2 linked regions of the Diceros bicornis minor genome follow. The protein of the gene in region 1 binds, or shares a complex with, the protein of each later gene. Links are inferred from orthologs where the notes say so. Each region holds a gene or a part of one and is shown on either strand. Other genes may lie near its edges.

What was found. The genes of interacting proteins can lie anywhere in the genome.
Region 2: the proteins of CENPA (region 1) and NTMT1 are in contact, whole or in part, in a crystal structure (PDB 5CVD), measured with the Homo sapiens proteins. The link is inferred for Diceros bicornis minor from reciprocal best matches to the Homo sapiens genes CENPA and NTMT1. Residues at the interface, in NP_001800.1 of Homo sapiens: Gly2, Pro3, Arg4, Arg5, Arg6, Ser7; in NP_001273725.1 of Homo sapiens: Tyr19, Trp20, Met30, Leu31, Gly32, Tyr34, Ile37, Trp136, Asn168, Ile175, Asp177, Asp180, Asp212, Glu213, Ile214, Tyr215.

What each region holds. Positions count from the first base shown.
Region 1 is NC_080751.1:55,990,234-55,997,424, forward strand, and holds the start of CENPA (histone H3-like centromeric protein A), read right to left. Parts: upstream 3,061-7,191; 5' UTR 1,365-3,060; coding exon 1,280-1,364; intron 1-1,279. Other genes in the region: SLC35F6 (solute carrier family 35 member F6), read right to left, coding at 6,308-6,777. UniProt on the Homo sapiens protein: Histone H3-like nucleosomal protein that is specifically found in centromeric nucleosomes. Replaces conventional H3 in the nucleosome core of centromeric chromatin that serves as an assembly site for the inner kinetochore.
Region 2 is NC_080767.1:37,215,673-37,222,956, reverse strand, and holds the start of NTMT1 (N-terminal Xaa-Pro-Lys N-methyltransferase 1), read right to left. Parts: upstream 3,202-7,284; 5' UTR 3,169-3,201; intron 2,612-3,168; exon of another isoform or gene 2,497-2,611; intron 1,757-2,496; exon of another isoform or gene 1,532-1,756; intron 1-1,531. Other genes in the region: C28H9orf50 (uncharacterized protein C9orf50 homolog), read left to right, coding at 5,545-6,070, 6,342-6,423, 6,526-6,642. UniProt on the Homo sapiens protein: Distributive alpha-N-methyltransferase that methylates the N-terminus of target proteins containing the N-terminal motif [Ala/Gly/Pro/Ser]-Pro-Lys when the initiator Met is cleaved.

The sequences.
Region 1 (7,191 bases):
CAAGACAAAGACGGCCAAAACACTGCTCCTATTTCAACACTAGTCTTAGGGCCTCCACAGTACCATACAATAAGAAATAAAACGTACAAATAGGAAAAAGAAGATTCGAAAGTCATTATTTGCAGACCATATAGTAGCCTATTTAAACATTTCAACTGGAGCAACTGAAAAACTATTAGGATTCACAAGAGAATTCAGCAGGTTGGCTGGATGCAAAGGTTATTTGTTTAGGAAAGAAAAAAAAATCCCGTTCACAGCAGCAACATCTATAAATAATCTATACTTTTTTCACCCTGCTCTTAGTCATGCAGCAGAAGACAAGTAAAGCGGTTGCTGCCACAGAGCCCAGTTCTTGCCAGTGGGTCTCCCACCCACCAGACCACAGTAGAGAAACTGAGGACCACAAACCAGTCTTCTTTCCGGCACATAACCTCGGGAAGGGAACAAGGTGAGAGCACCGCTTGAGTTAGAGCACGTTGGTTAAGGCCCAACACAGCCACTCACTGAAGAGAAAAAACAAAAAAACCTGGAAGGGTACCTTCGTCTTTCTTTTTTTTTTTTTGCTGAGAAAGATTCGCCCTGAGCTGACATCCACGCCAATCTTTCTCATTTTGTATGTGGGCCACTGCCACGGCATGGCCACTGATGAGCGGTGTAGGTCTGCACCCCTGGACCAGAACCTGGGGCTGTCGAAGCAGAGTGCACTGAACTTAAACCCCAGGCCATGGAGGCTGGCCCTGGAAGGGCACTTTCTAAAAGCAGAATTGTTGTTTGAAATCGTCACAAAAAGCAGCCAATAATTTTGCAATTTAAAAAATCACAAACTGATTTTGAAAGCCCGGTGTCTGCCGGAACAGGGGTGTGACCTTGTTCAAGTCACCTGGCCTGTCTGCGCCTCGGTTTTCTCATCTGTAAAATGGGCACAATATAACGTTGAGATAATTCTCGTAAAGAGTTTAACACAATGTCTAGTTAGCGGTAAGCACTCCATAAATGCTAGTAGCATCGGGAAGAATTAGCACCAGCACCCAGGCTGTCTGGGCCCGTCCTTCTCCTGCGCGGCACTGCCTTCCCCAGTCCCCGGGGCCGCGGCGAGCAGATGGGGGACGGCAGAACCGCGCTGGCCAGTGCAGAGGATGCTAGCGGACCCGGAACCGGGGCATTCCGGCACAACCCCAGGCTCGGCACGCGACCTCGGTGTTCTCGTCTGCGAAACGGGCACGCGAGCCGGCCGTGCCCACCTCACAGCACGTGCCGGGAAGGGGCCGCGGCCGGTTACCTAAGGACGGGGCCCGCCGGGGGCTGCCGGGGGCCGGGCTGGCGGCGCGCCTCCTCGGGACTTCGGGCTTGCGGCGCGGGCCCATGGCGGGCGCGGAGGGTTGCGGCCCCGCGGCTCCTTCTCGGCCTTCGGAGTCTGGAGACCAAGGCTGGCGTCCGCGGGCGGCCTGGCAGCGCCCCGACCCGTGGCCCCGCGGTTGGGTGCTCCGCAGCCGCCGCGCCGCCTCACGTTCAAAACGCCCGCATCGCCGATTCCCTGCCGGCGTTTTTTAAAACCCGAATCCAGCGACTCTCAGTGGCTGCCTCTGGAACGCCCCGGCGCAGAGCGACTGCGGGAGGACCAATGAGAACACAGCCCGGGACCCTGACGGCGGCGGTGATAGGAGGAGAGAGCGGGAACATGGCGGGTCCACAGCAGGACTCAGCCTATGGGAACTTGGAGAAGTAAAGGGAGGCGGGAACTTCTCCCGCCCTCCGCTTGCCTGTCGGGGTGCTCGTCTTTGAGGGATCTGACCCGAGTCCTCGGGTGCCCTCTGGTAGGAAAGGGAAGGCTCGATTTTGAAGATGTAGATGGTGAGTTTGTAGAACGCGTTTCTCTAGACAAATCACTTTGCTCAAACATTTTATGTTTTGCCCTATCAACCAACCCAAGTCTTTACCTTGGATTGGGGATCTGAACCCGAGAATAATACCCTGTATCTTGATCTCGGTGCTCTTTTCTCTCCTGACTTTATAACTAAAAGTAAACGAACACCACATTGCACTGACGACTTTGGATGTTTCTGTGATGCCCACGCTGACATCCCCCTTGGTTGTTCCACGGTCCTGGTGGGAATTCCAGCCCAGCTCGGGAAGGGAGCGACTCTCAACAGGCATGCTGAAGTGAACTAGGTCTACAGTCCCGGAAAGCAGAATCTTCTTGAGTTCGCTGGCTGGAGCGGTACCTGGGGATATTCCGTGGGTCCACTGGCGATGGGGGTGAGAAGACCCACTCTGGTGGCGGCTTACACAATAGAAGACCCGACAGCCAGGGGCTCTGCAATGTGAGCCTCCTCCCTGAATGGCTCTTATATTCATCCTCGCCCCCATTTCTCTAGTCCAGACCCTAATCAAAGGTTGTTTTACTGGTCTCTGTCTTCAGTACCTCTTAACGCCAATCAAACCTGTCTCCATATAACCACCAGGTCATCTTTCTAAATAGCAATTTGGATCATGTCGCCTCCCCTGCCTAAAACTCTCCATGGCACTCCACCGTCTAATGACAGAGTTCTAATGCCTCAGCAGCACTGAGGGCACAGCACTGTCTGGGCGCCTGCCCACCTCTCTGGCCTCTTCTGCGTTGCATGCTTACTGCCAGGCACACCAGTCCACTTACCTGCAGTTCTTGACTACATCGCCTTGTTATACGCCTTCACGTTTCCGTACGTTTTACAAGCTGTTCCTTCCTGGAATACTCCTTCTCCTGCCCTTCAGCCCCCAGCTGGGACTCCTGCTCATCCTTCAACACCCAGTTCAAGTGGAGCTCTCTCTGACAGTTCTAGATGGAGTTAGCTGGTCTCTCCTGTACTACCTTCCCTGCACCTCGTACAAAGGCCTCTTATTGCACATCACACTGTGCTGGAATTCTTTCTTTACATATTCATTTCTCCTGTGTTCTTTGATGGATCCACTCTCCTTGGAGCACATCAGTCCTCAATCAAGTTTGCTGAATTCTGGGATAGAAACCCCTTATTAAATTTTTTTTGACAAGTGTTCTTAATGAAGAAGGGTGATCTATAAACTTTTATGGCTACATAGGGAAACCCCTGCTTACCTCGAGTTTTGAAAGGATGTAGTCAACAAAAGGCAATCTATAAGTGGGTCAGGGAGGTGAACACGTTTAGGAATGCTGAGAACCTCTCCTTTTTATAGGTAGCCAAGGTCTTGAGAGGTAACATGACTTGTCCAAGGCCATCCAGTCAAGGTAGAGGCAGGGCTGAGAACACAGCTCTCTGCCGCCAGATTCTGCTTCTTTCTCCTACACAGGAGGCCCTTTGCTCCACTCCTCTGAAGTCCTCATAAGGGGTCAGAGCTCTGACCTCCTGGAGCGCTGTCTGCTTGTTCAACTACGCAGAGTCCTTTGGGCAAAGTAAAGGCAAACAGAACCATTTGGCACGGGACTAAATCTCCGCCTTGTGGGCAGATTCCCGGTGGAGAGGAGCCTGAGGGCTACTCCCAGGCCTGGATGGCAGTCCTGGAGGAAGCTCCAGCCCCAGGCTCCCCTAGGATCACTCTACGAGGACTAATCAGTTCACCATGTGGATGATTTAAATTACACTGTATTTGAACCGATGTTCAAATATTTGATAACCGATGGAGGTCTGTTATCAGTTATTCTGATTTTGGGGCTCAGGGCCTCCACGCCAAATGCCCACCATTCAGGGCTCCCTTACTCCACTCAGAACAGTAGGCCACAGCTACAGACATTCCCCGCAACCATCCAGACTCAGGAGAGGGGAGGTCCTTCCCCTTGCACATGACCAGCACAACACAGTAAGGCCTCTCATTCACCCTCAAAGCACCTCTGACAACAGGGTACAGTGGACACATCCCAGGGCCTGGGAGGACACCTACTGCCAGCATAAAATTTTCTGGAGGCATCCTGTTTTAATTTATCATCGATGTGAATTTCACATTCTACTCCATGATGGTTTGTTTTAATAAAACATTTCTCCTATGCTGAGCAAAACCGATGTTCTGTGCCGTGACAATGCTGGGACTTCAGTGCCCCCGATGGACCACTGTGGTGGACAGTGCAGCCCTACGTGACACTCTGCTGTGCACTGGCACATAGAGGCACCTTCAGTTTATCATCTTATGTAATTTTCACACTCATCCTGCAAGATGGAGGCTGGCTTTCTCATTTTGGAGATGTGAAGACCTAAAGCTCCAGGAGGTAAAGCAGGTTCCCTGAATTGGTGGCAGGCCTGACAGGGTGTCCCTATGCTCTGCAACCCCTGACCACTGAAGTCCCATTATAGTTCCCCCCACCCCTTCAACATTAAAATCAACACAGTCTCCCATGGCAGCACTCAAATAAAGGCCAAGTGCTTCTCTAACACCCTCTGAAGCGGTTTGCATGGTTGAGCGCACAGGCTGGGCAGTCCGCAGCAGAGGAGCAGTCCTGGACTCTCGGTACAGGCCCCTGGCTACGCTCCCTGTGGCAGAATGGGATGGGCAAGTACTGAGAACCAGGAAATCTGGCTTTGCATGTCACTGGCTGTGTGACCTTGGGAAGTTCCTTCCTCTCTCTGGGCTTTAGTTTCTTCATCTGAACAATGAATGGTGGACTGGGTGATTTCTATGCTTTGGTACATTAGAGCTTTTCCATCCCAACATTCTAGACGCTATCCCCAGGAACGTTCCAACCCTTGTGCTCCTTCCCTCTTGTTAAAAAAAAGTCCATACTACCAATTTCCCTTTTTAAAATAAAGCCTAAAACAACATTCTAAGGCCCCAGTTTTTTGGACAAGGCAGCTGTAGTCCCCACCACCCTCACTCTCCATTTCCTTCTTCTGTGAGCTGGTGGGATGGAGAGGCCCTCCTCTCCCAACAAGCTGTAAGAACCTGCTGGATTCCCGCATAGTCTGAGGGCTTTGCTTGTCAAAGATCCTTTCCCCAGAACCTATTTTAAGGAAGGCATTCAGTGCTTTGTTTTATGATTGAGCAGCCCAGGAAGATGGTCTGAGGCTCCAGAAACTACCAGAGTGAGGAACACTGGAACAGAGGGCTGCTCAGCTCCCTGCAGTCCCTGATGCCAGCCAGTCCATCTCTTCTGGGTGGGGTTACCAGGAGGACAACAGCATAATGCTTCTATCCCAGCCACAGGAAATTCCCCCCAAAGACCCCAGGGAAACCCATATGGGAGGTGGGGGCCCAGGTGTGGAATCAGGCAAACCTAGCTTAGAATGCTGGCTCCATGAGGAAGTCACTTAACCTTCTTGGGGCCACAGTTGCCTTGTCTGCACCCACCCGTGCAGGCTGCTATGAAAGTTAAGCACTTAACACAATGCCTGGGATACCAGAATTACTTTAAATGGTAGAATCCTGGTAAGTCCACCAACCTGGAGGGTTCTCTAAGAGTCAGGTTGGGAGGTGGGGGCTGAGGTCCAAATGTACTCTAGATCTCAGCCTATGGCAGGATCATGTGGCTGCATGGCCAGAGCCTACAGCAAGAGAGCCCTCCTGCCAAAAAATACAGAACCCTAGGCCTCAGTTTCCTCATCTTTAAAATGGAGGTAAAGACATCCTAAACACTGTTATCAAGGGCTGCCTGGAATTCTGGCTGTAATCCCTCTCAGTCAGGGAAGACTTGAGGGTGTGTGAGCAAGGACATCAAAACAGGCTTGGGGAGGAGGCACTGTGGGCAGAGGGGCATTTCCAATAAATGGGCTGTTACTCCTTTCCCAGGTAGGTCAAAATCGTAGGCCTACAAACTGTGCCCAGCTGGGGCTGGAAGGCACTGAAGCCACAGTGTTGATACCTTCTGCTTTACAGAGCAGGACACCAAGGCCCAGAGCGACCAGGTAATGGGCTAGGGAGCATACACGAGTCTGCTGCACAGCCTGACTGAAACCTAGGTCTCCAGACAGGGTTAGGGAATATCTTACAAGTTTTAGAAAATACGGTGCTTAACTTTCATTCTCTTGCATAACAACCTGCACAGGTGGGTGCAGACGAGGCACAGGTGGGTGCGGATGAGGCAATCGTGGCCTCAAGAAGGTTAAGTGACTTCCTCGTGGAGCCAGGCAGGGGTCGGTCACTGTCCTCAGGCCTGTGGGGGCTGGGTAACACCTCTCTGCAGGGGGTTGTGACAAAGGAGGACCAGGGTATCATGTCATGTTCTGTGGCAGCAGCTTTCCTGGGGGTCTGTGGGGAGGGGCAGGGTGAGGCCTTGGGCACAGGGCACTCGAGGCTCACCAGCCCGTGCGACCTCAGCCTCAGGGTGAACAAGGAGTGTCCAGGTGGCAGCAGAGGCCCTGCAGAAGGCTCAGCTGGTATCGTTGATGGCAGTCCGAGAGCCACCCAGCAGTCTCTCATGCTCACCCTCCTCTGCCGGGGGCCGGCCCCTGGACAGGCGGGTGAGCAGCGGGCGGTGTAGCCCGTTGTAGAGGGCGGTGCCCATCAGGAGGATGAGGAAGCCGAGGATCTGCAGTGGGTGGAAGGCCTCCCAGCCCAGTGCCAGGCTCACTGCCCAGATGACAACAGTGCGCAGGCTGTCCAGCACCATGCGAGTGGTGGCGCTCAGTTCCTTAGTGACACTGATGCCCGCAAAGTTGAAGAAGGCAATGCTGCTGATGTTGCCCAGCAGCGCCAGGGCAATGAGTGGTTGTCGGCCCACCTGGCAGAAGGCGTCCAGCGCATCCTCCAGCGTCCCGTGAGGGTTTCCACTGAAGGAGCCGGCGGGGATGTAGTACATGGGCACCAGCAGCAGGGAGAGGATCACGAAGCCAAAGAGGCCTGTGGGAGTGGAGGAAGCATATCACACTCTCCGCTCCGTCCCCAGACTCCCAGCACTTCCCACCCAGCAAGGGCTCCACTGATCTCCTGGCCACCTCCTTCTAGCGGCCCTACACCAGCTCCTTCCTTTCAGGTCCTGGAGCCGCTCCTCCCATCAGGAATTCACAACGGCCTACTGAATGGGCTCTAGCTGCCCCTTCTCCACTTTAATCCACATCTTCCAACTGGACCAAGAGTAAGAAATACATTTTACATAGTGACCAGTATACGTGTGCACAGGTGCATACAAACATGCACACTTTCATAAAACAATAGCTACCCTTATAATGTACAATGCTCTCTGACACTTTTAAATTCTATTCTATTTATTTAAAAAAGAATTGCTGGCTGCAACCACTATACTGCTCTCAGAAG
Region 2 (7,284 bases), on another chromosome or scaffold:
ACTGGACTGGGAGCTCCTCAGAGCAGTGGCGACACCGAGCTGTAGCCCTGTATTTCTCTTGCAGCGCACATAGCACACAGGTGTTCAACACAAACTTCGCTTCCGATTAAATCAACAGAATAGATCTGGGGCCACACGTGTCCCTGGCTGTCCTCTCTGCCAATCCGTTTGCCTTCCCTCCCAGGAGGTAAGCCTCCTGGGTCAGGCACACAACCTTGTACACCATTAGCCCAGTACCTGACACAAGGTGGGTGTTTACTAATTGGTGAAGGAATCAAAGAATGAGCTTTGTGCGGCTACAGTCATTTTCCACTTTTAAGAAAATCCTACAGACAAAAATACAGCCCTTCAGAACTGATAACACTGAAGGCCATTACTGACAATATAATTTTTTGCTCTACCAAAAGCCTTACAACATGATTCCTTTAAATGTCAAGGTCCCCTGAATAATTTAATTTATAAGAATTCCACTTAGAGGCAGATTCTAGGAACAAGCCGGGGGAGGCACATGTAGGCCGGGAAATGGAGAGTATGACTCTGACGTTTGTTCTAACAGCTGATTCATGAGTAAATGTGACTCGGGGGGGCCCTGTCTACACTTTGCCTTGCAGTGTCCAGCTTAGAGTGGGCAGGAGTCAGAGGGAACAGCAGGGTCGTCAAACAGCAGGCAGTCCTCCTAGACTCTGTCCAGATCACAGCGAGGAACTACATGGCTGCAGGGAGGGGGAAGGGGCCTGGGCACAATCTGCCTTTGTGTGCGCTCTAGGCTAGCTCGGAGGGGAAGAGAAATCCTTTGCTCATAGTGAACTTCTGCTCCTCAGGGGTGGAATTCCTCTGTGCATCCTTCATGGTCATCTGGCCATCTCCCCACACCAAGGTGTTTGAGGCAACACCTGGGCAGCTTCCCCAGCCACCTTCTCTTCTCCCAGGATCCAGGGAAGAGAACGGTGTTGGAACTGTCACCGTCAGTGCTCTGCAGAGTCATCTCATCCTCCTCACTGACTGGTCTCTAAGAAAAAGCCTGAAAGCAACAGGAGGCAAGAGTCTGCCTCAAGTTACTTCTGCCCTCACAGCCCGTGGGACAGGGCCTGTTCTCCCTGGATCTGTGTGGACAGCGGCTGGACATATGAGAAGGGCAGGGTGCTCTATGAAAAAGAAAGAAAAGGAGGGAGGGAATAAGGAAGACCAAAAAAAAAAATGGGAGAAAAATTTAAAAACAAATGAAGGCTCTGACGGAATCAGATGAACCAGGTCTGAAGCCTGGCTCTGCTTCTCGCTGGTGTGTCAGCTCAAACAAGACACAAACAGTTAAGTAAGTTGCCTTATCTATAAAATTGGAACAGCAATACTGACTTTATAGGGAGGCTGTGATGATTAAATGTCAATATAAAAACATAAAGTGATCCATACAGTGCAGGGTACATGTTATCTCCAGTTTATACATCTCTGTCAAACAAGATTCTCATCCATTCTCTCTGCCAGTTGCGAAGATCAAATGAGGAAAATGTAAACTGTAGGGTGCTGGACACACCTTAGGGATTATTACTGTTATGCTGGGTGGTCAACCCAGCAGACTGAGACAGCGCTGCAAGTCTGCAGGGGAGGGGTGAGCGTCCCATCCGTGTCAACACAGAAACGCTGCAGAGATTCTGGAGACCGCTGTCTCTGCCTCGGTGGCTTCTGGTCTTCACCAAAGCAGCTCCCACAGTCCCCAGTTCACAGACAGAAAAACCATTCCACTAAAAGAGTGATGCGCCTTAAAACAAACACAGGGAAACTCCAACAGAATAAGGAGGGAATCCAGACTTCCCATCCCAGTCAAGGCCCCGGTCCTCCCAGGGGCTTATCCCATCTCACCGGGCAATGATTCTGTACACCCAGACCATCGGCAACGGTGCCCCACCCACCGGCACGGCCTGACACCCTTTCCATCCCTTAATGCACAGACGGAGAACCCAGGGTCCAGAGAGAGACCACACAGTTGACGAGCAGCACAGCCTGGGCCTTCGGTCCGGCAGCCTCTCTGCAAACAGGCTAACCTTGGCTCCAAGGGCTCTCGGGGGCTGTCTTCTGAGCGGCACCTGTGTCGGGCCGTCACTGGGGCTGGGTCCAGGTGAAATATGATAGCAACTCCTATGCCACGGGCGCTACCCCGTGCCTGGCTCTGAACTGGGCATTGTGCTGAATCCTCACGCACCTCTCGGAGCGGGTGCCCTCCCTATCCCCGTTTCTCATGGGGGAAACTGAGGCTCAGGGACGGAAAGAGATTTGCTGCGGCACGGGGGGCCGCGTGGGGGTGTCCACCCGGGCTTTGGGGGGCTCGGCCTCTTCCTCCTCCCCCACCGGGGACCCCCCCTAAGCCGGGGCGCGCACGTGAGGCCGGCCAGCTCGCGCCCGGTCACGTGACTGGCCGGGGCCTCGGGCGCCGAGGCAGTTGGGGGCCGGGCCTTCCCTCTCGCGGCGCCGCCGTCCCCCGCTCCGCCGCGCGCTACTCACCCCGGGCGGGGGCTCCCGGGACCGGGAGAAGAGGACGCGGAAGAGGAAAGGGCGGCGGCGAAGACCCCACCAGCCACACCAGCTCCGTCAGCCCCCGGCCAGACGCCACACCGCGCGGCACGCGCCGCTTTTGTCCGCTCACGTCACTTCCGGGCTCCCGGGGGCGGGGCCGCGGCTGGCTCCGCCCCGCCATCGGCTTGCCCCGCCCAGTGGGTCTTGACCTAGAACCTCCCGGACTTAAAAGGACCGCAGCACCGACCCTCTCCCGCCTCCAGCACGTGCACCGGTTCATGTGGAGGCTGCAAGCCTGGATTTTTAAAAACGAGCGTTCTCTGGGTTTCTCACTGGGTAAAAAGGGGGAAAAAAAGCCTTATTCCTCAAATCTCTCCCATAACAACTAGCATCTTAAAATAACATACAGATCCAAGAAAGAAAGAAAAAGAAATACCCTTGGCAGTGCCAAGGGGTTGCCACCCCAAATAAGCAGAACAAGTCCATGAAGTTCCCATTCCAAAAAGGTTGCCCTCCCCTAGGCTCCTCCCATATATAGAAATTCTGGAGCAGTCCTTGAAGCAGCCTTGATGGAAATGTAATTTTGCGGGTGGCTAGCCCTTGTGAACCTCTCAAAGCCTCAGTCGCCTCTTCTGCCAGACAGATGTAATAATTACTCACCTTCCAATGCTCTGAGGGTTAAATTTGTGGGATATTGCATGTGAAGCCTTCAGCCCTGGGCTTGTCGTGGTCTCTCAGTAAACAAGCTGTTATAATGACAATATTCATCATAAGTTCCTTTTTCCTAAACTGACATCCTGGTCTTAGATTTACAGTGCCTTCCTCTGGGCGCTGCACACAGGAGGTGCTTACAGTGTGTTGGCTCTAATGAAGTGAAAGCTATTGGGGGGGGGCGCTGAAAAGCCCCACCTGCTGTTGAGTGCCCCACATCTGTCTATGTACATATTATTTGGCATCCTCTCTAGAGTACTCGAGGTCAGACTTGGTTCCCCGGCCTGGGCACCTCTCCCAAGCTTCACTTTCCATATCTCTATGGGAAAGGGATAAACCCTAAGCTATCTCAATTGCTGGGGGTGTCCATAATCTTTTGGGCGCAGCTCTGAGCTCTCTTGGGGTGCCTAAAAATCTACTCCTACTTTTTTTCCTGTCGATGGAAGAGAAAGTCTCTTCCTCACACCCGGGCTCCAAGGCCTTTCCAGTTCTGGCCAGCCCTCTGACCTCCAAGCCTCTTGCATCTCTGAATCCCTGAGCCTCACACACAGCAGTCACTTAGTGAATGTTTGCAGCATGCGAGCGCTGGAGAGCTCCTTAGAAATCAGCTGGTTAGTCTGGTGGTCCTTGTCCAGCTCTTAAAAACTCACATAGCCTTAGAATAAATATAAAAATTTCTCACCTTCCCCATTCATTATTCTAACTTCCCAATGAGGTATGCCCTTCCATTCCTAGTTGAGGAGTATTTGCAGACAATGAAATACATCATCTGTGATGCCTCCTCCAGGCAGGCACCTTGTAATTTGAATTACAAAGTCATTTTTTCATTTTTCAAATTATAAAATTATACCATGCCAGTGAAATTACTGGTCCAAACTAGCCTTGTCCCCCACTCGATTTTCACAGTACAAGCTTCTTCCCTGCCCCCTCGCAGCCGAGAATCATAGACGGGGCCCAACAGTCCATTTGACCATGGAGGCCTGAGAAAGGAGAAACCTGTCCAGCATCACACAGCAAACAGAGCACAGCATGGACTCAAAATAGGTCTCTTCGTTTCCAGGCATTCTTACTGCCCAGGCTTCTGGCGGAAGTTTTACTTCCAGAGCCACCCAGCCCAAACATGACCCACCTGGGCCTCCGGGTTGGGAGGGGGTAGCCGAACCCTGGGCCCTCTGTCCCTCCTGGTCAGGAGCCCCACCACCCCCTTGTGACAGCAGTCTTGTTATCTTGAGCATAACAGCCCCGCCCTCTGCCCCCAGGCCTCAGTGCAGATGCTCCTCAGCTGGCCTTGGGTGGGGGCGGATCACAATGACCCTGAAGAGGCCCTGGAGGCAGCAGGGAGGGGCTGCAGAGGGACCAGGCCAGGAAGATGGGCTCTCCCAAGGACCAGCCCACCTGTTAGGGGGCTCTAAACTCACAGGACCTCCTCTGGCCTCACCCAGAAGCCCCACCAGGGTGAGTGTGACACTAGGAGCCAGCTCAGAGCTGACAACAGTCTGGGACTGGGTGTGGTACGGAGGAAGCAGCTCCCAGACCCCCAGTGTCAGAAGCAGGGGGCAGGCCTGGGGTCTGTCTTCCAAAGGAGGTGTTTATTAAAAATATGTGTCTTGGCCCCTCCCCAGACCTACTGAATCAGCATCCGGGGCATCTGTATTTTCAACAGGCCCCCACCCACGGGGCTCTGAGGGTCTCTCCTTTCAAGCTGGTTCTGGGTTTCTCAGTTCCCAGCAGAGCGCTAATAACAGTAACAGCCTCCTGGACTGGAACACTCCAGTGCTAACTGCTCTCTACCGCGGGATGTTATTCATTCTTACAAAGGAGCAGGGGCTCTGTTATCCCCTGACGGCACCGAGAGAAGTTAATTAGTTGGCTCTCTAGGTTACAAAGTTACAAGGTTATCCTTGTAACTAAATTATTGTATATAGCAATATATACAATACAATATATACAATATATACAATAACAAATTATTACTAAATCCTAAATAGTAATAATTTGAAAAGAATAAGAAGAGCAACTCGTCTTGCTGAGCAGGTACAACGTGCCTGCCACTCTTCTAAGCCACTGACATGCGCTTGCTCATTAAACGTCACAGCAACTCAAAAAGGTGGGTATGCCTACCGTCATCATTTTTCAGGTGAGGAAACAGAGGCTCTAGCCTGAACCACTCACTGTCTGGGGGGCCAGTGGTGTCACCCCCAAACCACACTGCCCCGCTCTGGGCGCTATGGCCTGGGGGCAGGTCTCTGCCCTCCTCTCCACTTCACACGGCACCCCCCGCCCCCACTGACGTGAGGATGGCCTGAGCCCAGCGCAGGGCCAGCCATGCCCCAGCGTCACCCCAACCCGGGGGCCCAGCAGGTGGCGCCCAAGGGGTTCCCCGGCGACGGCGCTCGCCGAAGGAGCGACCCGCTGCTGCCCAGGCTGCCTGCGCCCCAGCTGCGAGCATCTTCTGGCGCGGGGGGCTCAGGGAGTTCGAGGGCCTTGGGGAGCGACGCAGGGTGGTGGCAGGCCCCCAGGTGCGCGTCCTCGCACACAGAGCCTGGGGTGGGCGTCCGGAGCCCCCTGCCGCGCCTGCCCGCCCTGCCCACCGTGGCCCCGCGGGCGGCGCAGGAACGCACAGGGCTGAGGTCGCTGCTACTGCCGCCCCTGCTCCTGGCTCGCGCGCCCCGGGCACCGGCGCCCCCGCGCCGCGGACCTGGAGAGTGCGAGGACCCCCGAAGGGGCTCGGCCAAGGAGGCCCCGGAGTCCCTGGGTGCCCTCCTGGGGGAGCTCCTCCTCCCCAGCAGGTTCCGGGGGTTCCTGCGCCAGCTTGGGGTGGAGCGTGAGGAGGAGCAGCCGCAGCCACCGAGTGAGGCCCTGTGGCGCCCCCAGGGGGCGGGGCAAGGGCGGGGCTGAGTCATTTCCGGTGGGGGGCCCACCATGATGCCCAGAATGATGCTAATATTAGTCGTGTATTCCTAGCACAGTCCTAGCAACCTCCCCTTGAGGGTGGCTCTACCATTGCCCCTATTGTACAGATGAGGAAGCCGAGGCCCAAGGCCGCATAACTAGGAAGAGCGTAGGAAGGACTGTCCCCAAGCAAAGGCTCATAACTCTTTCCACCTCCTCCTGGTTCCCAGCATCGCCACATCAAAGGGGTGTGTCAGAGCACTGCCGGAGGTGTCCTCAGTGTCCCAACTACTCCTTCCTCCCAGACCTGCGGTAAGTGTCAGTGACCTGTTGGTGGGGACAGGGTTGCCATGGATGCTCCGAGGGTGGGGGACCTTGACCACTCATGCCAGCTGTGGCCTATTTGTCTTCAAGGGGCAAGTCATCGTACTTCCGGAATAGTCTTAAGAAGATTTTGCTCCATCAGATACCTGCCCTGGGGCCCCTGAAGAGAGATCACTCACAATTCACCACAGTCAAGAAGGCCAACCAGTGAGTTATGGGAGGATGGGGGGAGGGGAGTGGGGAGAAGAAGCTTTTCTTTCCTTCCTTTCCTTTGTCGTTCACCCATGAATTGATACATCTATCCACCTATTCATCCACCTATGTGTCCATCCATGACTCAGGTCTTCTGCCAAAGCATTCATAATCCATCGGTGAATCTACCCATGTATCCACGCATCCATCCATCCATCCATCCATCCACCCACCCACCCACTCATCATTACATAGATCTATCCATGAATCAGTTCTTTTCCCAGCCCATTCAAGGATTCCCAGCCCATTCAAGGATCATCCATCAACATCTATGAATCCATTTATCCATTAATCAGGTCTTCTACCAACACATTCATAATTCATCCATGAATCCATTCATGTATTCATTCTCCCATTCACCCATCCATCCTTGCATACATCTTATCAGTGAACCAGATTTTCCACAACCTATTCATGAATCTCTCCATCCATCCATCCATTCACCCATGAATCAGGTCTCCTGTTGATCCACTCATCCATCCATCCATCCATCTAGCTAGTCATCTATCTATTCACAAACTCCCAGAATTCTATCCACCCATCCATGAATCCAATGATCAATCATCTACAAATCTTTCCATGCACTTATAAATCCAG